Mytilus edulis: one gene and its partners. The protein of the gene in region 1 interacts with the protein of each later gene in a pairwise test. Links are inferred from orthologs where the notes say so. Each region holds a gene or a part of one and is shown on either strand. Other genes may lie near its edges.

The links.
Region 2: the proteins of rac GTPase-activating protein 1-like (region 1) and anillin-like interact in a two-hybrid assay, tested with the Drosophila melanogaster proteins (2 studies listed by BioGRID). The link is inferred for Mytilus edulis from reciprocal best matches to the Drosophila melanogaster genes tum and scra.
Region 3: the proteins of rac GTPase-activating protein 1-like (region 1) and protein ECT2-like interact in a two-hybrid assay, tested with the Drosophila melanogaster proteins (2 studies listed by BioGRID). The link is inferred for Mytilus edulis from reciprocal best matches to the Drosophila melanogaster genes tum and pbl.

The regions. Positions count from the first base shown.
Region 1 is NC_092345.1:92,660,120-92,667,585, reverse strand, and holds the start of rac GTPase-activating protein 1-like, read right to left. Parts: upstream 3,015-7,466; 5' UTR 2,891-3,014; exon of another isoform or gene 2,874-2,890; intron 1-2,873. Other genes in the region: actin-related protein 2/3 complex subunit 2-like, read left to right, coding at 3,202-3,275, 6,001-6,035, 6,445-6,503.
Region 2 is NC_092348.1:40,061,371-40,068,612, reverse strand, and holds the start of anillin-like, read left to right. Parts: upstream 1-4,231; 5' UTR 4,232-4,356; coding exon 4,357-4,374; intron 4,375-5,610; coding exon 5,611-5,758; intron 5,759-6,466; coding exon 6,467-6,595; intron 6,596-7,119; coding exon 7,120-7,242. Other genes in the region: acyloxyacyl hydrolase-like, read right to left, coding at 195-286, 1,020-1,119, 2,562-2,718, 4,018-4,138. UniProt on the Drosophila melanogaster protein: Required for cytokinesis. Essential for the structural integrity of the cleavage furrow and for completion of cleavage furrow ingression and proper formation of the midbody.
Region 3 is NC_092346.1:78,100,349-78,108,374, forward strand, and holds the start of protein ECT2-like, read left to right. Parts: upstream 1-5,015; 5' UTR 5,016-5,069; coding exon 5,070-5,112; intron 5,113-8,026. Other genes in the region: octanoyl-[acyl-carrier-protein]:protein N-octanoyltransferase LIPT2, mitochondrial-like, read right to left, coding at 946-1,184, 1,736-2,207, 2,326-2,334.

The sequences.
Region 1 (7,466 bases):
CACATTCTTCTTATAAAATCCTGACTCACCAAGAGTCTTTAAAAGTCTATCATACACGAGTACTGCACCACTTGATCGGGTGCCCCAATATGTAATTTTATTGGTCACCGAAAGCATATAGCCCATGGTATTACTTTAACCATATAAAACACACATTTCTATACTGAAATCCATACAAACTGATTGTTTGTTTATTAAATATATTCAAAAATTAGAAAGTCATATAAAACAATTGAACTGTAATAATAAATCATTCCTTGTATTCCAGCAATCCCCAAACAATATTCTTAGTCATGTGGACAACATACCCATGGTGAACCAATTAAGGTTTACAATAAAAATGTATACGCAAAATATACACCTATTCTCGCGCCATTCTAGCACCTAAGGTATTTCCAAAATTGCCTCTATATGTATACACCACCGAAAGCAGCTTCCAACAACAGCTAAGATAATGAGTGTACGTTCTTCTATTATCTTTATTCTAGTCACAACTCGTACCAGACAACCCTATTCCAGCTGTATGACAAAAATGTCATTTTAATCCAAATCCTCGCTATATCCACAATTTCTACATTTACCTAAGCCACATTGCTTAGCAACTGAAAAGATTCAGTATTATTTTCCTCAACTGACGTAACAATCCCACCAAACTGAGATAATTCAGTTTATTTCCAAAGATCAACGTTAAAATAAATATCAAGATATTATATTATAAATATAACCGAGTACAAAAACTGTACTTTTAGTCCTTTTTACAATATCAAAATAAACCGGACAAATTTCCAGTATAATATCCATGATGGCACAATATAGCCTATGACTTACGGTACCACTTTTAAGTTTGAGTATTGTTAATTCCCTCCTTTCCATGCAAGAAAGGTAAATAATTGTTATTACATCCACACTGACAAGACATAGATATGCAGACAATACTGCATGACAGAAATGCAAGTACAAAGTACAAAATGTACTTTTTAATCCAAAACAATTTGAAGTATAATCAAAACAAATTATTTGATTTTCCAAATCCATTTATGACAATAAATATGAATACGAACCAATAAACAAAACTAACAAATTAAACAACTTTTTCATGGTTAGAACGACAATGAGTATTCCCCATTGGTACCTCCATACAAACATTCCTTAGATGGCAGGTGCTTTGACGTCGAAAATATGACGTCATATTGTAAACATGGCGTAAACAATCGCCGACTTCCTGGAAATTGAAAAGCCATAATAAGCTTTCTACCACGATAAAATGCAGCTAAATATTTTATTTTGATGTGGTGTACACAAAAATGTTGTGTTTGTTTTCCTCTTATGCAAGACCAGCATATTTCCTCTGGAACGTGAACAAAATGTTCACCTTGTGCTCCAATTTGGAATTTAAAATCTGGATTTCTAATTTCATTTTCTGAAGGTAAGTCACCTTTAATTGTATTGTTGTAAAAAAACGATATTACATGCAGTACTGGTCATTGTCGGACCGGCACAAACAGCGGAAATGACAAGCAGACGAACAATAAACTGTTCGATTTTGACTCCTAGGGATACAAAAATACCTTTTATTCCGACCATATCGCCGAAATAATGTACAAACACAATGTTTGTTTAAGTTATTGTCCTCAAATATCCCTCGGACGAGCCCCCAATGTAACGGGAGTGGAAGTTTCCACTGGCTTCGTTTTCCCGTTGTCTACCCAAGTTCTGGGATATTGGACAAAGTACGTAAAACTACGTAAATATAAACAAGATGTTTATTTGAAGACATACATTATGGTTGAACATACGATTACATGAATAAATATACTAAAATACGGTGGTGGCTAGTCTACTTGTCCTTATAACGTTCCATATTTGAAAGCCAAACGATATGAGCGTCTGCTCATTTTAAATCCTTAATGTAGACTGCCCAGAACCCGGTGAGTGACGTCATACTTATAGTTCCTATGGACAACGAGCCCGGCCGGGCACGTGCCAGAACAGGAAGTCCCGACAAGGATAATTTCATGGCCGGTCTCGGAAGAAAGAGTTACGGAACTATAAGTAATTCTAAAGTTAACCAATATCCCCAAATAAATAGAATATAGACAAGTAAACAAAGTGACCACCATTACAGTTGTTTACCTCGTTCATGTGCAAAGGTAAATACGGAAATGGAGATAGATAAGGATATATGTACATTTGTATGTCACCGTAGCTATTTATTAGAGTACAATTATATACTAGTACTACACTATATGTTGTGTGTACTATATATTTACTACGTTCATTCATTGACGGACAGTTAGAAAAAGACTTTACTCTATATACTACTCTGCACGAAGTTATTATGCATGCAACCCGCCACTTTTTCTAGCACTATATATACGGTGAACTCGTACTAATGCGAGTTTCACACACTTAAGCATGCACGCTACATAAGGGACACCCTAACTTTTTCCCTACTTTCAGGTAATCACATTTTTTTTAGGCCTTAACATGCATGTACTTCTATCCAATTCATAGTTCAATTTAGAAGGAAACTTCAAGTTAACATTTGAAATAAATGTTTATTATAATTAATATTTTATGTACTTTCAGTGTGAAATAAATGGTTTGCAACATTATATTTCGTCACATATTCAACGCCCTATTTTAATTTACAAAGATTAAGTGGCCATATTACCCTGTGACATGTAATTCTGTTTAAGTGTTAAAATTTTATTTTTCATCCAAGAATGAGTCAGTACACAATGATTTGTGTTATGGCCTGTCTCTCCATTTGTCTCACCGAGTCTCTGTGACCGATGTGGGCGTTTTTTTACCATGGATTTCTTTGAATGACCCATGAAATTTTTCAATAATATTCTTCTACTTTTAAATACCTATGTTTTTAGTATACCTAACTGTTACTTATAACTATTGTCATTCAAAAGTTCTTGATAAAGCCTTAAAGGCAACTTCCGTCTTCCCGGCTGTTTTCAAATCAGAATTAGATTATCCAATAAAATTACCTTTATCAAAACTGCCATCTGGTAAGGCAATTATTTGATTCACACTTAGAGCAAACGCAATAATTTTACAAGTCTCCGGTAACCAGTACAAAAATTGGCCAATGAAAAGAAGTGTTACAAAGGCAAGGTTGGAAATCAACAACAGTTCCGGAATAAGGAATAACCCACCCTTCTTTCAGAGGAATAAGTCACTGCTAAAATGATTTTGCTTGAATTTCATAACCGAATTGTTGAAGAAACACTGAATTTAAGATTCAAAAATGCAAAAGAAGGGTAATAGATTCATTAGATTTGTATAGGGATATAGTTTTAGGGCGTTACAAATAAACCCGGTATAGTACATGCTTCCGTGTTCTTTCGATGTATCACAGTATCAGTACTACCCGTATAATGCAATAAATTGGCATTACACTTACAGCAAAAAATATAAACAATGCAAGATCTATAAAATTGACAATATACATAATTTCATGTTTGCATCACAGCTGAAGATTGACCAATCAGATAATTACATTGTGTTTATCTATTTGAATATTGGAGTTGAAGCGGTGACAAATCTTCGGGTTTTACCATATATAGGTACACAAACTTAAAACTCAATTAATTTTTTGTTGAATCATTAAAATTAAATTTGAGATCGTGTTTTCAAATCTCCTTATCATAATAGACATGTGTTTTAAAAATCTGTGTGATAAATTTTACCGTTTGGTTTTAAATTGGAATTAAAAATTGTATTTTCCCATAGAGTTTGAGGTAAAATCCCGAGAATTTCACCTCCTAGAAATTTAAAGTGCCAGGATGTTCGAAAATATGTATTAACAAAATCGTAGGATGACTTGTAGTCCTACAATGTAAGTCTGGAATGCAACTCGACTTTAAATAAAGAATTTGATGTACATGTACACAGTACACAGTACAGTAGTTGTCATTTGTTTATGTAATTCATATGTGTTTCTCGTTTCTCGATTTTTATATAGATAAAACCATTGGTTTTCCTGTTTGAATTGTTTTACAGTAGTAATTTTGGGGCCCTTTATAGATTGTTGTTCGGTGTAAGCCAGGGCTCCGTGTTGAAGGCCGTACATTGACCTATAATGGTTTACTTTTAATAAATTGTTATTTGGATGGAGAGTTGTCTCATTGGCACTCACACCAAATCTTCCTATATCTATAAATTAAAAAAAAATTAAAATAGTATCTTCGTCTCATTGGTTATTGCACTATAGACGTATTTACACTTGTATGGAAATTTGTCCGCCATTACGTAGAATCACACAGGTTCCCGTAAACTTTGACATAACAATTCAAAAAAATTGACGTCACAATAAAAAAGTGATTGTTGCTTGACATCAAAAGGTTATTCGGAGGCGATCTACGGTCATTTGGAGACAAAATTCAGCTAAATACCTAAAGTGTAAATACGTTTATTGAGAATGCATTGTGACATCACAATTTCCATTAAAAAAGAATGCATTAAAATTTATATGAATTCATATGATATACGAAAAAACATGATCTGACCAAATAATGGCTTCTAAGAAGTTTCCACTTCACAACCTGGGCAGTTTGACCGCAGGTTGTTTTGCCCACACTATTTTCTATTATTCTTAACATTAACTGTTTAGACAAAAGTTTGTTTTGATAAGGCCTAGGAAAAATTTATGATGATTTCCCCTTTCATTACTCATTAGTCCAAATAGTTTTGACGTCTTGAAAGGTTATTTAAAAAAAAAATCTGTGACCCCTTCCTATTACAATGCTGAAACCATTTTTCCAATTGGACTTTGAGATAGAATTTTCTGCAAGTATGATTAAGACTTTAACAAGTTTTTGTGTTGATTTTAGTGCTTCATTAATATAAAGGTTTACAACACCAGGATTTCCCCTGGGTCAATTATTTTTTTCGCCACCTCTTTGGCCAAAACAATATTTTTTTTCGCCACATTATTTTTTTTTTGGCCAAGTAACACAAATATATTTTTCTTTTAAAATTTTCCTTTTTTTTTTCGCACGTGTGTCACTGAAACGACTTTGAAGTACCCACTCAAATCAATTATCGATATCGAAGTTAAATGATAGTTTTAAAATCAGAGACCTTTCTGGCTTTTGTACATTTTTTGTCATAACAACAGTTTTCTTTTCTGGACTATCATTAAAAGAAGGAGAAGAGTCGTCAAAATTTTGCTTCAAACATGTGTGTCGCAAAGTGGTTAATAATCCTTGATGAAACATGTGACGGGCGCCATTTAACCATATCATTTTGTCAATCAACACCTTTATTAATTAGTCCTTTGATGTCGATTGCTATCAAATGCAATCAGCTGATTATTGATTTTCTGTCAAAATCTTATCGAGTTCAAGGTGAATTCCGAGAATTGTCTGATCAGGTAAATTCCGAGAAACCTGAAATAAAAAGTAAATAAACGAGATGGTTGAAAATAAATAGTTATATATATTAATTTCGCCAAATTCTTTCGCCAATGACGAATTTTAATCGCCACAATTATTATTTTTTCGCAAATTGCTAAAATGGCGACCGTCAGCGGAAACCCCGTACAACACAGAATAGACTTTAAACAATTAGTCTGTTACAAACCTAAGTACAAAATTTTTTTATGAGAAGTATGGAAACTAACACTTCATCTAAAATTTATACATCTGATGTGTTGATTCCATTTTAGTTTCCTTTTAACATTACATATTTGCTTTAGATATTATTCAGTCTGTTGAGATTGAGCTCTATGTTCATCATGTTTATGTTTATATTTGAATCACTTCAGTTTTCTAATATGAATGTACTTGGGAAAACTGATTAAAACTACAGTAAAAGAACCTTCAGTAGCCTAACTACCCAAAAGTAAATTTTGTTCTTTTGCATAGTATATTGGTACATGAACTATATACTGTAAATCACACTTTAATGTTGCTGCACTTAATTCAAGCCTCCTTTAGGGCATCGTCTTAGTGAAGTTTTATTTTATTTATTTTTTTATTTTAGAAACAAACCAGAATCAATTGATGTCACTGTTGCAGGTACGTTTTTTTTATTTCAATTTGATCTCTTGTGAAATCTGTAAAATCATAAGATAGTTTTAATACACTTTTAAATATGTTTAAAGGTGTAGATGTATATCATGTATAGCAAAGAAAAAGAATATATCTAAAATATTTCTCTGCACTTATCATGCTTATTCATTAATGTTAACAAAATTACTCATGACATCAACTTATTTCGGCTGTTAAATAAAATAAACACAGCATCACTTTATTTTCATAAATTATTATTGCATATGTGCTATCTTTGTTTTTTTTACTTATGCATCCTAAAACTTCATGAAAATCACTCCAGATGCAAGATAATATTTGTATGACAGTGTAATCACTTAAATAGTTTTTTTTAACATTTTTTGTGTTAATTTTTTGTTTCAATTATGTTTTACAGATTTCGATGGAGTTTTATTCCATATATCAAACCCAGAAAATGACAAAACCAAAATAATAGTAAGTATATGTGGGCTTATTTATTGGTTTTGAGCCTTTTGTGTCTCAAGAAACCATTTAATTACTTGAGAGACAGGCTTTTTCTTATCTTACATTGACTTCATTTTCAGGGTTTATTTGTCTATGATCAGTTTCCCCAACTTTTTCCAGTTTATCAGATACTACAAGCAACAGGTTAACTATATTTGGATTGTAAGGTGTACATGTCTGTCTGGCCTGGTGCATCTGACCTTGACCTCATTATCACAGAACATTGATAAGTTTACTTAATACATGTAGTTGTAGTAAAACATTCATGTTACAGACTTTCAACATGAATTCAATAACAAGTAGCCTAGTTAGATATTTCAGTGTGTGCTCTCTTATTAAAACTTTTACACTTTTCAAATATTGGGTGAAATAAATGATAGTTAGACAATATACATATAGTGTCTTGTAATATGAAATTTATTTGTATGAGGCTTAGAAACGGGGGAAATGCAAGGTTATACCGAGCATTTCCCTTGTTTCGTGCCGAATACAAATAAATTGCATATTTCAAGACACTATATGCATATTGTTTTTATACTGAAATCGATAAAAAAAATAAAAATATGTAACAAATATTGTTACAAAAAGTGTTTGGAATTTTCCTCTTGTGGTACCATTTTGGGGTATTTCCCTATGAGCGTAGTCTAGGCGGTAAAACATTGACAATTTAAGGAATTAGAAAGGGAAAATGAATTTAATTAATAATATTTAATAAACATGCTATACAAATTACCAATTTGAAGACATAACAAGTTAAGATTTATAAAGGTTTGACCATTGTTACTACACGTTGTCATGGTTGTGACGTGACGTTGTTGATGAAATACAATAGTTCCGGTAAGTAGGCGGGGCTTATAGGTTAGTTGAGGTCATTGGCGTATAAAACTAACGTTTATACGTATAGCTTTATCTGTATAGCAAAATAGCTGATTG
Region 2 (7,242 bases), on another chromosome or scaffold:
AATAATTGAGATTCAAACCGGGGATAAATTGCTGATTGATTAATAAAAGTAACATCATATTGCATTACAGACATAAAGTATTTAGTTCCTGCTTAAATTGTGGCACCCACTGTGTTGCTCTTCAGATGCAAAAATGTGTTCCATGTAATTTTTGTGATTGGCCATATTGACCAGGTAAATTGATAACTTCTTACTTGTCTATGAGTTTACAAATCTCTTTAATTCCAGGCAGTTCACATATGTTAGGAGCTGCCCTCTTCCTTCTTGCATTGAATACTCGGCTAACCTATATGGGAAAACAATCTATATACTATAAATTCAGAAATTATTGGGATGTTTATACTAATGAGAATAATGCGACTAGATGCCTTATGCAATAGTAAGAAGTGGCATTATGATATCATATGCATATGTCTGTACTCTGAAAAAAGTAAAAACACAAAAATACTGAACTCCGAGGAATATTCAAAAAGGAAAGTCCAAAATCAAAGTCCAAACACATCAAACGAATGGATAACAACTGTCATATTCCTGACTTGGTACAGGCATTTTCTAATGTAGAAAATGGTGGATTGAACCTGGTTTTATAGCTAGCTAAACCTCTCACTTGTATGACAGTCACTGAAGGCAACTTTTCATGAATCACAATAATTAATCTTGCATTTTCATTCATTTATAAAAAAAAAATGGCAATAGTAAATGCATGCAATTAGTCATAAAGGTGGATTATTGCATGTGAGGTAAGTATTTTAGGTCATAATAAACAAGACTTTCTAAATTATTTTTTTAACATAATTTGATCATTTGAAACACTTTCTTAAATACGTCATCATTTCTTGCTTAAAATTTTTTAAATCGTAAACAGAGTTTTTTTTCACTGATTGAAATACTTCATATAGTTTCTTGAAATTAGATCAAAGCATTCTTAATCTTTTACACATTATGTGAATATACAGATAGACAATGATTAATAAACATAAAACATCATGTCTATGAAGGGCATTATTGAAATAACATACCTTTGGTTTTGGAAACAGGTGGCACTGTTCTTCTCCTGTATCAGTGAAGCAAAAACCAAGTCCTTGACAGGCTTCATCTGGATTGTATTTTGCTGGTAATCTAAAAATAAGATAACAATAAATTTAGAGTTTATCAATTACCTACATGCCAAATAATTTTGTTTTACAAAATTAGTATAAGGGACAGGGATAAGTACCAATACCATAGGCGGATCCAGGGGGCCCTGATGCCCCCCCCCCCCCCATTGTGGGAAAAATTTGGTTGGTTATATAGGGAATTACTGAAGCATGACTGGAGCAGGCCCTCCCTTATGAAAAGTTCTGGATCCGTCACTGAATACATGTACTATGGAACAAAAAAATCTTCAAAGAATAAACAATGAGTCTACAAAACATACACTCTTTGTGCAACCTGACTAAATTACATGTCAAACAATTTGAAAACTCAAAATTGAAATACAAAGGTTTTCCTACTACCTATAAGGTGTAAATGACCTAGCTTAGTTAGATTTGACAAACTTTAAAAAAAAAAAAAAAAAAAAAAAAAAAAAAGGTTTATAATGGCCTTCAACTTTGTAATTAGGTTAACCTTCTAAATATTTGGTTCAAGTGCCACTATTAGAGATTATATAGACCAGATGCATATCTGGCATACTAGTTTATAAGCCTGGTTTCTTTGATGATATTTTCTCATGAATAATGTCCTCTCTGTAAATCCTGTCACTAGTTACATGGCAATAACAAACATCAGGAGCCTGTAATTCAGTGGTTGTAGTTTGTTTATGTGTTACATATTTGTTTTTCGTTCATTTGTTTACATAAATAAGGCCGTTAGTTTTCTCGTTTGAATTGTTTTACATTGTCTTATCGGGGCCTATAATAGCTGACTATGCGGTATGGGCTTTGCTCATTGTTGAAGGCCGTACAGTGACCTATAGTTGTTAATGTCTGTGTCATTTTGGTCTTTTGTGGATAGTTGTCTCATCGGCAATCATACCACATCTTCTTTTTTATATCTATTTGACCACAAAGCACAGAATATTATGGGGACGAAGTCCCCAATAACAGTAGAAAATTCAATAAAAAAAAAAATTAGGAAAATTTCCCGAATTTTTCATTGTACTAATGAACTCAAAATCGTTCAATTTTTTTTATGTCATGTTTTGAAATCCCGGACCTGCGCAGAAATGTACAATGTACTTCCTTTTTCCGGTCTCGTTTGTATGAAACTTTGAGTAAAATATATATTTATCAGTCTAGTATAAAATAGGAAGGAATGCGCAATACCAATTTCATTTTTAATAATTCCTTGATATGAAAAAATGTTACCTGATGATAGCGTTTCTTTGTTTACATTGCATATGACGTCATGACTTAAATAACGTCACAACTAAAATCCCTAACAAAAGAACCAAAATCGGAAACGTTACGGTATTTCCGTTTCTTTTTCTTAACAAATATATAAATGTAAGTTACAAAAAAATAATTCATACAGACTTCGTCCCCATTTACAGGTAATGCCTGCCTCATATTAATACTTACACACGTATAATCTCATATGCAATGTAGTCTACAAATACTTTACATGGTATTGCAACTGCAGGTGGTAAATAATTGCAGAACCTTTCTAAAGATTTTGTTACTGTTTCATTGTGTATAGTTGCTAGTTGTTCTCCAAATGTAAAAATAACAGTACATGCTGAAAAAAGAACATTTTCATTTTTAAACACATTTAGCTTTACATTTTCATTGTACATCTAACGTCCCCAATCTAGAAAGACAAATTCAAAACACATCGATCTTTTGATTTACTACTTGATGTTAAGCAAGAAATAATAAACCAATCCATCTTCTGTATTTGTACAAGTCTACAGAGATGTTCAGAAAAAAAGAAAAAAAATCACTTTAAGTTTATGTCAATGACTGTCTGACACTAAGATAAATTCAAATACCTTATTTCTGACATATACTTTTATATATATGTGAAATAATTAAATAAGATTGCAAACATGTGAACAATAATCAAGACAACCATTTCTAACAATTGTTCCAAAATAGTCAAATCTTAAAAGTTAGTGTTTGACGATACCTTCTTTCCTTTGATTTTTTTGTTTCAGTAATAAGAGTCTAAGACCTAATTAGACCTTTTTATATGTAGGGTCTTTCTTCATCTTAAAATGCTTATTCTAAATTTTTGCCTTGGCTCCTTCCTGTGACAATAAGGGATAAAAAATAAAAATCGAAAAATACCTTTTAGCAGACAGCATCATTATTATGGGGATGAAGTCCCCTATAACGGTTGAAAAATAATTAAAAAAAAAAAAAAAAAAATCGGGAAAATTTCCCAAATTTTTCATTCTACTTATGAACTCGAAATTGTTAACTTTTTTTTCAGTTTTTTTCAAATCCCTGCATCTGCGCAGAAATCTACTTCCGATTCCGGTCTTGTTTGCATGAGACTTTGAATAAAATATATATTTATCAGTCTAAAAAAGGAAATCAATACTTATTTTTTTTTTTTAATTTGTTTGTTATAAAAAAAACGTTACTTGATGACAGCGTTTCTTTGTTTACATTGAATATGACTTCATAACTTAAATAACGTCACAACTAAAATCCCTAACAACAAAACCTAAATTACGATATTTCCCTTTCTGTTTTTAAAACATTTGTGAATTAAAAAACAATCATACAGACTTTGTCCCCATTCACAGGTAATGCCTGACTATTATTAGGACTACTATTATGTGTGCAAACAACTAGTATAACAAATATTTGTTTTGTCATCAGTATACCATGTAAAATAGAATAAAATAAAGTATATTGAAGAGTTAACAAATAAGTTAATTCTATCAGTTTACAAAAGTACTAAAACAGACTTTGTCCTCTATCAGATAATAGCTGTCTAGACAGATATGTAACTGCTGTAGTAAAATAATCTGACCCACTGTGCAATACTATATCATAAATGAGTATCTAATTATCAATTGAAACTTACTGGCACAGTTGGTACCACCATTCGCGCCGAAATTTAGAAAGTTTCTCGATCTAGATGCTTCTGAACCATATAAGCATATAACAAAAACAAGGACAACGGCAACTGCTTTCCCAAGTGACATTTCTTTGGATTTTTTTAACACCTTCTGCAAAGTCACATGACCACCACGTGACACCAATTTCAAAGATCACTTACGAAAACGCATTGTAGATCGAGATCAAAATATTTGAATTTTCTCGCAGATGTTCGAGATTTCACGTTGTTTTGTACCGCCAAATTTGAATTGGAATGGCTAATGTTACCGAAAATATTTGAACATAAACAGAATTTGTATTTATAATGGACCCGTATACAGAGGTAAGTAAAAACTACAGAACTGAAAAGTAATGAAATTTGTATTGTCTTAGTTGTGAACATCACACAACTCACCAAATGAAAAATATTGACCAGACGAGGCGTTGTTTTGAATATTTGATCATATTTGCATTGTTGAAAATTCAAAATAAATAACATGTGCATGGTTGGATCTAGCTATTTTTAAAAGTGGGGTTCCAACCCAGGAGGAAGGATGAGAGGGTGGGGGTTCAATCATATGTCCCTATTATTATTAAAATCCATTGATCATCCAAAAAAAGGGGGGTGTCCACCTGGAAACCCTCCCCTCCCGCTGGATCTGCCACTGATGAGTATGATTTGTCTGTAAACATGATAAGTCAAACTTATTTCAAATTCCACCTAATAACGAATGCCAGAATTTAATCTTAAATTTGAATAACCTTATAGTTATATGGACTGGAGGGGTGTTCATTTAATAGTAGACAAATTACTCGTCATTAGTCATCACTCACTCTTTAGTCTAGACAAGTTTAGTAGATTTACAGGGGGTCTGTCTTATCCAGCTTATATCATTGTAATGATTACGCTTGTAATTTCAAGTTTCGTGCTTGACATGTTTTCTGTGTCAATGCTTTCAAACAATCTGTCAATCCTGCATCATGCTATATGCTATTGTTGTGATCCCGAGTATAACTCAAGACCGATATATACCTTGGATGGTCGTTCCTGCAGTCAGGAACGGCCGATTGCTGTTCTAGTGAATTCGTCTGCTGTATAGCCATTAATAGTTTCAACCGGAAGAGAATGGTTTCTGGGTAGTCCTTCGGACATCTCTAGATGGTCTGTCTGATGACCTAAAACTAACCCTCCGGATACTACACTATATTTTTTTATAGACTCCTATCAGACTCACTTAACTTTGCTTTCAGGATTTGGAGGTCTGGCACCTTTTTTGTGTGCCCAATCCATGTAGAATCACTTTCATCTACATGTACATAATTTTTTTGAGACCTTTGAAGAATCAGGATTTGTCTCTATAAATGATAGCCAAAAATGAAGGTTTGATGCTTGACGAGAAAGGCCATTACTACCCTCTTAATTGGTGCTTTCTCTCCAAATGAATAACATCTAGAATTGGTATCTTGTAATATGTTTTAACAATAAATGAATATGTCTGTTTAATTTTGATGCTTCACAACAGAAAATAATGTTAAAGCTTGAAACTATTAATTAAGGTAAACTTATTTCTTCTTTCAGCAACTTCTAGAGAGGACGAGACAGAGAAGAGAGATGTTGAATCAGAAAATGGGGAAAACCCCTGAAGTAACACCTAGAAAAAGATTCCTGCAGGATAATACCACAGACAATTTACCACAATCTGATACTAAAACTCTCATGAAAGAAGGTATTTAAATTGTTATATGATACAAGTAGTATTGGTAGTTAAATATTTTAACTCATGTACAAGTATGTCATGCAAATATACACAAAAAACCTACATGCTTGTTTTCTTTCTACTGGCTGCAGATGAATAGGATAGGTTGGTACATAGTAGGTAAAATGTTTTCTTTTCTTCAATAATTTGCGTTTGAAATATTGGGAAATTTCAAATGTTTTGGGCGTAACCAAAAATGTACATAAAATTTGTCTGGGAAGTAAGGAGACATATCAAGCAGAAACAGAACTATAAGTTAACATGTATAGTTTTAAGGGAAACCAATTTGCAGTTTTTAATAGATGTACATATATATCTTGACATATGCATATCTAGAAAACTGGGTTAAAGATATGAATATATTTCATGGTATCTGGCCAAATTAATTTTGACTTTACTGTCACAGTGTTTTAAAGTGACATGCTGAATCACTGTGTCTACATGTATATGTCATTGTAGTGGTCATTTCAGTTCACTCTGTTTAACTGTCATGGAGATTTGTAGGGAATTGCAGAATCACTTTGTAATGTACAAAGGAAAACAAGAAGGTAGATAAATAGAATATTTAAATTGTATGAAACTTTGTACTTTTAAATATGCAAAAGAATTTATAATTGGGTTAATGTTGTGTTACAAATTTTTAATACCACTATTTCACAGTAACCATATTTTTTTCAGCATCCCCTGGCAAGAGACAGTGTGTGAGAGAAGATGAAATCAATATAAAGCCAGACACACCAGCTATTAGTAGTGTGAGATCTAGAATGCATAATTTGACACAACAGAGAACCGATTGGTCTTCAGGAGGTATGAAATAATCTTGTACACAATTTGCATTTCTTTGTAAAAATTAACATCATAAAAGTAGCTCAAAAGATAAGAAAAAAACATCAACCTGATTTGTGCAAATATTACATTATGTACATTAAATGAACAGTTATGACAGACTGCAAGTAATAACCACAGGAGTACTGTACAGATTTCTGATTTGATCAGGCCTAAATGTGGAGGAGCCAGGGTAATGCATGTTTGTGGGCACACCATGTCATAATCCCTTTTGAAATTTAGCTTCCATTCCATATTGTTTGAAGAATCGTTGCCTCTAACACAGGCAACAATAAAGATCAGCTAACGATTTTCACCCAAAAAATCTTACAGAAAAATATGTTCGACTTTAAATGTAATTAAATAGTAAAACAAATATTGGTCCAAGCCAAAAAAAAATCTATAAATGATTCCTCCCCACCCAAGATAAAAGCTAAAAAGAGTCCATCTGTTAAATTAAGAAAATGAAAGTTGTAATTAAAATGTTGGCATAATTTTGAATTTAGATGGAACAGATTCTGACAATTCACATCCTAAACCAGTTCCTAGGAAGTCTTTACAGAATTCCTTAGAGGAGGAAGTAGAACCTCCTAAAGTAGAAGGACAAAGGAGAGGGCGACTAGCTAACT
Region 3 (8,026 bases), on another chromosome or scaffold:
GCTAATGCCTCTTTGGGGTTTTATGTTTTGTTCTGTTTTTCAAATACTATAAGCAATACATCAATTACAATTGGTGTAAGGAAAGATTATAAGTTGTACATATGATTTTGGCAAGTATAATCTGACCATGACCTCCTTTTCATGGTTCATTTAGTTGTTTTTTTTGGGTCTGTTTTATAATACTATAAGCTATTTGTCAACTATATTTGGTGTATAGATTGATTGTGAAGTAGTCATGTCTTTCTGGCAGGTGTCATCTGTCCTTGACCTCTTTTTCATGGTTCAATGTTCAATGTTTTTCTGGTTTAATCTGTTTCTTAGATGCTATTATTAATAAGGTCAACAATAATTGGTGTATGGAATGATTGTGACAATTATTGTAAATTTTTATGTCTGTCCGGCTTGGTTTATAAATTATCTGACTATGACCTCATTTTCACAGATCATTGTCAACTTTAAATAAAGGTGATATTTGTAGTTAAACATTTTCTTTAGGACTAATAACATTAAATCAATCCTGGTTGTTTAAACAGACAAGACATAACAGCCTGTGCACTTTTCATGTAATTTTTACCCAGAGAAGTGAAGGAAGATTCTTTTCTACAGCACCATCAAAGAGTCCTCACCTGAAGACACAATCACATTAAATGGGTCAATATCATTTTGTTTATTGTGTTGTTGGTTTGTTGTTCTATTGACACATATCTCCTGTTCATATCTTCACATCAAATTATTTTCAAAACATAGAATCTCTAATTAAATTCATATTCACAATTTTATAACTTCTTTCCAATAGATCAATTTGGCAAATATTTTTTTTATAAACAATTTATTTTCTTAGTCATAATGTTGGATCTATAAAAATGTGGAAATAAATAAAATATATTTTTTATATAAATTAAAACATGATTCATTGTTATATTATAATTATATACTTATTTTGTGTTAATATTCCTCTGTTTCTTTATCTATATACTTTAATTGACAATCAAATTGTCTTTGAAAATTTTCTAAAAATGGTTTTACAGCATCATTTATATTAATATCACAGCCCTTTTCTTTACTAAGAGACGTCACATCTTTTCCTTTTAATCCACAAGGTACTATATGTTTGAACCAGTTCAAATCAGTATTACAGTTCAAAGATACACCATGAGTTGTTACATATCTGCGACCATGAACACCTACAATATAATAATAATTGATAAAATATAAACAAATTATATTTGAGCATTGAGTTTAATGCTACAAAATTTACGAATTGTTTCTAGCACTCATTAATACACAAAAGAAAATCACACAGACTAGTAAACTCACAAAAAACTGGTACAATTCATTAATAATGGATGGATTGTTGTTTAATGTCCAGTGGCAAATTAAATGCATATTTGTAGAGTACCGGTACTAATTGAGAAATTCGTATGACGTTATGAAACATAAATTGTAGCTCAAAAATAAATATATTCATGAAATTTTAACTTCTGTAAACATGATAAAAAAAAATTTTTTAATCAAAAGTATACAAAACAAATAAAGTGTTTGATCATTCATTCCTGCATCAATTTTTAGTAATTTTCAACTGTGCAAAACATCAAAATGAATGTCTTTCACAAATAATGATCAATAATGGTTATAAAACCAAAAGTAAAACTTTTATTTTTGCTTAACATTAGCCATGATAGTGTATCTTGATGAATAGCTAATATTGATGGTAAAAAAGACCTTTCAGACTTACCAATAGCTCCAATTTTCCTATCTCCAATCCATACTCCTGTATCTTCTGTTGTATGGGCATTTAGACCATAATATTTACAAGTTCCAATCATTGTCTTTTCCATGGAACAAATATACCACTTCATATTTGGTGTAAAATATTTTAGATTTAAAATTGGATAAGCAACAAGTTGTCCTGGTCCATGATAGGTAATTAAACCACCTCTATCTGTTCGGCAAAATTCAGCACCTAGCTTTTTAAGTTTTTGTTCGTATTCTTCCGAATAGTCTTTAGATCTAATTCCAATGGTATAAACTGGGTTATGCTCTACAAGTAATACAACATTTTCTCCATTTGAACCGTGTACTCCTGCCATACTGTCTAAATGCTGTCGTGCAAATTTGGTCTGTACCTTATAAGCATCAAGGAATCCCATTTTTCCAAGATTTAATACACTCACAATCTTGCTGTAAGAGCTCATCATGACATTTGTCTGTAATGGAAAAAGCTCACATGTATTTTGATAATCATTAATGACATTATTCTAATACCGTAACTTGAAAAAAGATTGACGAATTGATATAATTTAATCTAACGTAATCAAGCTGTACCTTCTCCATTAGCTATTTTTCTACATTTTGTCAATAGCCTGACAGGTCATACATTTGAGGGTGGTAATGGGGATACTTTCATGACGATAAACGGTAAAAATGCTTGCCAAATGACGTTATTTGTAGTTTTTAGTGCGTGACAATAAAATGTACACTTGGTTTAGAGGATAAACCAGATGCTCCCCAGGGTGCAGCTTTATACAACCTCAGAGGTTGAAACCTGAACGGTTGGGCCAAGTATGGACACAACATTCAAGCTGGATTCAGCTCTAAATTAGATTGTGATTAAATAGTTGACACAGCATAGGTTTCTGACACAGAATGAATGTGGTCTAATGAACTTAAAATTTTTGTTTTGCCTTTGAGCAATTCACTTTGCCCCCCCCCCCCCCCCCCCCCCCCCCAATTTTTTTTGTTCACATCCCCCTTTCCTTTATTCCAAAACCAATCTCAATTCAAATTTCTAATGGAGTTTGCAAGAATAACTACTCATTTAAGTACATCACAGTCTTCACGCTGAACTGCTACATCTACAGGCCCGCAGCTCAATTTTAGAATTTTTTTTTTTTTTTTTTTTTTTAAATAATATCTTTATTGCACTTTTCTTTGCTGTTGTTACAAATTACTCGACCTACAGCGGAAATTTTTAGTTAGATTCTGTTGGCCTGTAGGTCTGATTTTTACAGGCCCAAGAGCAATTTCACCAGCCTGGGCTGCCCAGGCTGCCACTCGGCGTGAAGACTAACATCATAAAATATTAAAAAAAAAGTGCTTGTTATCACTGAATGGTAAAGATTGTTTTAATTTATCAGTTGATAGTAAAAGTGAATATACATTGTATATTGTATAAAACAATGATTTAAGTTGATTCAACTACTATTCTGGACAAAGAAAGATAACTCTAATTGAAATTTCTTGCTATTGCGCAATACTGTGCAATTAGATATTTCTTGCTATTGCGCAATACTGTGCAATTGAAAATACTTGCTAATGCACAATACTGTGCAATTGAAGATTTCTTGCTATTGCGCAATACTGTGAAATTGAAAATTTCTTGCTATTGCACAATCCTGTGCAATAATTGCCTCAGTACTGTGAAATTGAAAATTTCTTGCTATTGCACAATACTTAATATAATAATTTTGGATTCTGATTTGGACCAACTTGAAAACTGGGCCCATAATCAAAAATCTAAGTACATGTTTAGATTCAGCATATAAAAAAACCCCAAGAATTCAATTTTTGTTAAAATCAAACTAAGTTTAATTTTGGACCCTTAGGACTTTATAATGTAGACCAATTTGAAAACGGGACCAAAAATTAAGAATCTACATACACAGTTAGATTCGGTATATATATATCAAAGAACCCCAATTATTCATTTTTTGATGAAATCAAACAAAGTTTAATTTTGGACCCTTTGGACCCCTTATTCCTAAACTGTTGGGACCAAAACTCCCACAACCAATCCCAACCTTCCTTTTATGGTCATTAACCTTGTGTTTAAATTTCATAGATATCTATATACTTATACTAAAGTTATGGTGCGATAACCAAGAAAAATGCTTATTTGGGCCCCTTTTTGGCCCCTTATTCCTAAACTGTTTGGACCTCAACTCCCAAAATAATTACCAACCTTCCTTTTGTGGTCATAAACCTTGTGGTGTTTAAATATCATTGATTTCTATTGACTTAAACTAAAGTTATTGTGCGAAAAGTAAGAATAATGCTTTTTTGGGCCCTTTTTTGCCCCTAATTCCTAAACTGTAGGAACCAAAACTCCCAAAATCAATCCCAACCTTCCTTTTGTGGTCATAAACCTTGTGTCAAAATTTCATAGATTTCTATTTACTCAAACTAAAGTTTTAGTGCGAAAACCAAGAAAATGCTTATTTGGGCCCTTTTTGGCCCCTAATTCCTAAAATGTTGGGATCATAACTCCCAAAATCAATCCCAACCTTCCTTTTGTGGTCATAAACCTTGTGTTAAAATTTCATAGATTTCTATTTACTTATACTAAAGTAAGAGTGCGAAAACTAAAAGTATTCGACGCCGACGCCAACATGATACCAATATATGACCAAAAAATTTTCGTTTTGTGGTTGTATAAAAATAGTCTGACTTTGATTAATCTCGTTAAATTATTTCAAAAAATAACAGTAACGGTAATTATTTGAGACCTCTGACAAATCACGATAAGGATATTTTGACGAATCACGTTAAAAATTTTACCAATTTGATGCTTACGGTAGCCGAAAATGACCTTTTGACGCCTGACCCTAAAGGGCATTACTACCCTCAGATATACCCTCATAAATTATTGATTTTAATAGATCAAGTAAATGGTTGTAATTTTAGAGATGATATCCTAATAAATATTTTTTTTTAATTGAGTAGTTAAGATCACTAGTTGATAGCTGGGTCTATAAAATAAAAGAACAGAGATTCAGTGATTTCAGCTTTGCACATATTTATCTGTACATCGTGGATTTTGGATCAGAGAAAAATTAACGGCTAGGCTTGGGTGAAATGGAATTAAACAGAAATTACCAAATCTTCGAATTACCAGTAGGAATGTAATTCAGACGACCAAATTATTGGACCGGATTTGTATTTGTTGACATTTTTCTTGACAGCATGCTACTTCCTGTTTTTGTTTTGAACTATGGGAAATTGTCTTCAAATTCATTAGCCAATCAAAAATGCGGTTTGTTTGAACAGCGCCATTTTCAAGTGTGGAAACAATGTCGGAGTGTAAAACAAAGCCCGACGTACCCTTAGATGATGGCACGTTGTTATAAAACTTAAGTTAAAAAGCCTCATATTATATTCAATGTACCAATGATGTTATTGACGTAGACAAATCAGGGTTGCACTCTTGTCAGACACAACGATCCACAAAAAGCACAACCCACTCTTCTCTTTTTGTTTTCCAGTCTCGAGAACTAAATATAAATATTGTAATACTAGCCACTTTACTCGATTTATAAAAAAAAGATATGATATGAATGTCTGTGTGACCACTTTTCACCGGAAAAGAAAATATGTTGTATCTTCAATAGTGAGCAATGTCAAATCATAGATATAAAAGCCATATAGATAAAGTACTGGACTCACATCAAAAGCAGATATTTTCCGAAATTTTATCACCCTCTTATTAAATACATGTCACGCTTGGTATTAATTAGCCTTAATTAGCCTTTATTGGCAATTGCCGTCTATCGATATCTTGTAAACAGGGGCGGATCCAGGATTTTCGGTTAGTGGGGGCGCAAACTTAAATTTTTTATCGAAATTATTGAAATATTCTTCTAGAGAGGATGCAATTTAGATATCTTGCCAAGCGTGGCGAGAAATAAATATTTTGTGGTAAAATTAGCGTGAAATTGAAGTTTCAAGGTAAACCCGCATAAATCCACCCCTGACAATTTGTAATCACTATAATTAACAAGAAATCTGCGAGCTTCTATTCATTGACTCAATGATAGCTCACCGACCAATATAAGATTTTGAAAACAAGAATTTCTACTTTTGCCAGCGATTTTTAATTGTCTTTTCTTCTATTTCCGGAGGTCGTGTCAAACTTTTTATATACATTTCTACCGCATACAAGTAAAATCAGAATGAGGTCCTTGCGAAGATATGTTTATTTTCGTGGGATCCTATGTAATACGGTAGTACGGGTTGGGGGCGTTCCCCGTTTATGCATGCTTCGGCAAGGTAAACTTTACAGGTTGAAAGTGAGAAACACTAGTATATTGATATCATACAGAGATATTAAACAATGATACGAATCAATAAACGAACCTTTCGCTTGAACCAGCATTCCTATCTTTCATTAAGAAAGAATTTAAACAGGACCGTGCCATAATGAAATAACCAACCCAACCGCGGGTAGGGCACTTTCGACTACTTCGTGGAAAAGTGAGGTAGGGTTGTTTTTGAACTTATCAAAGCAATTGTTTATAAAATCCGCAACTACCATGTCACATTGTTTTACTTGAACTGCTAAAAGCCTATGATATTTTTCACCAAACGCAGTACCGCGATGAAGTATAATATATTTATAGAACTTATAAATAAACCGTAGGTCAGTTTATTAGTAATCACATTGATTCTGTTAAACTTACTGTTTTATATACTTCTTTGAATGTTAAAACAGATGCAATGCGACGAGATTAATATTCGTTGTCTGTTCAGATACTTTATTGAGCTGAGGACAACCCATGCTTTGCAAATTTTAGGGGGGGGCGCATGCCCAACACGCCCCCGCCTAAATCCGCCCCTGGTAAATTGTGAATCGGGGGAGTTATAAGTCATTCTTCGGACAAGTTCGGTAGTTTTGTTATCTTCCTGTACATAATTTTTTGGAATGTTTATATACGTGCTAAAAATTCATGTCGAGGTGATCGATGTATGATTACATTGTTCTTATAAGTCCCTAATATGCATCAAATATTTTCCACTGAACGTTGTGAAATCAAGGATCATATAATAAATCACTGTAATAGAAAATACACACAACTAGTTTCATACCAAATCAAAGACGTTATAAAAATAAAGTACACAAAAAGTATGTTGACAACTAAACGGTCAGACTTGCAGAGGGTTACATTTGTATATAGCCATATTAATAGTACGAATCACACCCTTAACAAAATTCTAAGAAGGATATATATTGTTTACTTCAAAAATGAAATAGACAATCAGTTTAAACCATCCGCTATTTAATTGCAAATCAAGCAAAAAAAAATGTAAGCAGAAAGGTATTATATATAAAAGAAAAAAATCAGAGACATGATAATTGTGCTATTTCCCAATTATTTAATGTATGTCAACCACTAACAATTTCTTCACCAAACGGCGTTTTAAAATTTATAATGTATTCATTTTTTTCTCTGTATTTTTCAACACTTGTAAAAGAAAAAACATTTTGTGTTCTAAAATATAATAATTTCGTTTTTCTGGTCTAAAATGTGATTACACTGTTTTGAAACTTGATAAAAAAAAATTGTCTTTAATAAAACGCATAGAAAAATTTGACCAGGTTTGACCTCTTACCCATGTATACCATCAGTAGTTGATGTGTCTCTTCTTGTCAATCATACAGGTCTTATTTCCCGAGTGCAACCGATGCAAGTGCTATGGCAATTTAATTTTAAGTGCCTGTTCAGTCCATTTTCCATAATTTCTCTATTTTATTATCTCCCCCCCCCCCCCCTCCCCCCTTGCTGCAGATCATAAATGTAAAATGATAAAAACTAACGACCTTTAATTAATGTAAAAAAATGAATGAAAAACAAAAGACACACTGCAACAAACGACAACCACTCAATTACAGAACAGGGATCTCCATGGCCTGTTTAACGATGGCGCCCCGCCATCGTTCAAATGTCTTGCGCCATCGTCAAATGACTTGCTCCATCGTTAAATTGCCTTGCGCCATCGTTAAATTGTCTCCGCCATCGTTCAAAACTTCATCGTATTTTGTAGCCCGACGCCATTTTTTTTATCAATTATAATCAAATGCATGTATTTGCATAACCTTAGGCTTTTTATGTTATAATCCAGTACAGTTCTAACGCCTGGGGGATATCCGGATTAAGATCGCTAATCACTTGTACCTGAGCTTGTACAGGTAGATCAACAAACTAGACAGGAGAATACTATCTGAGGATAGACGATCCATTTGTCGAATTAA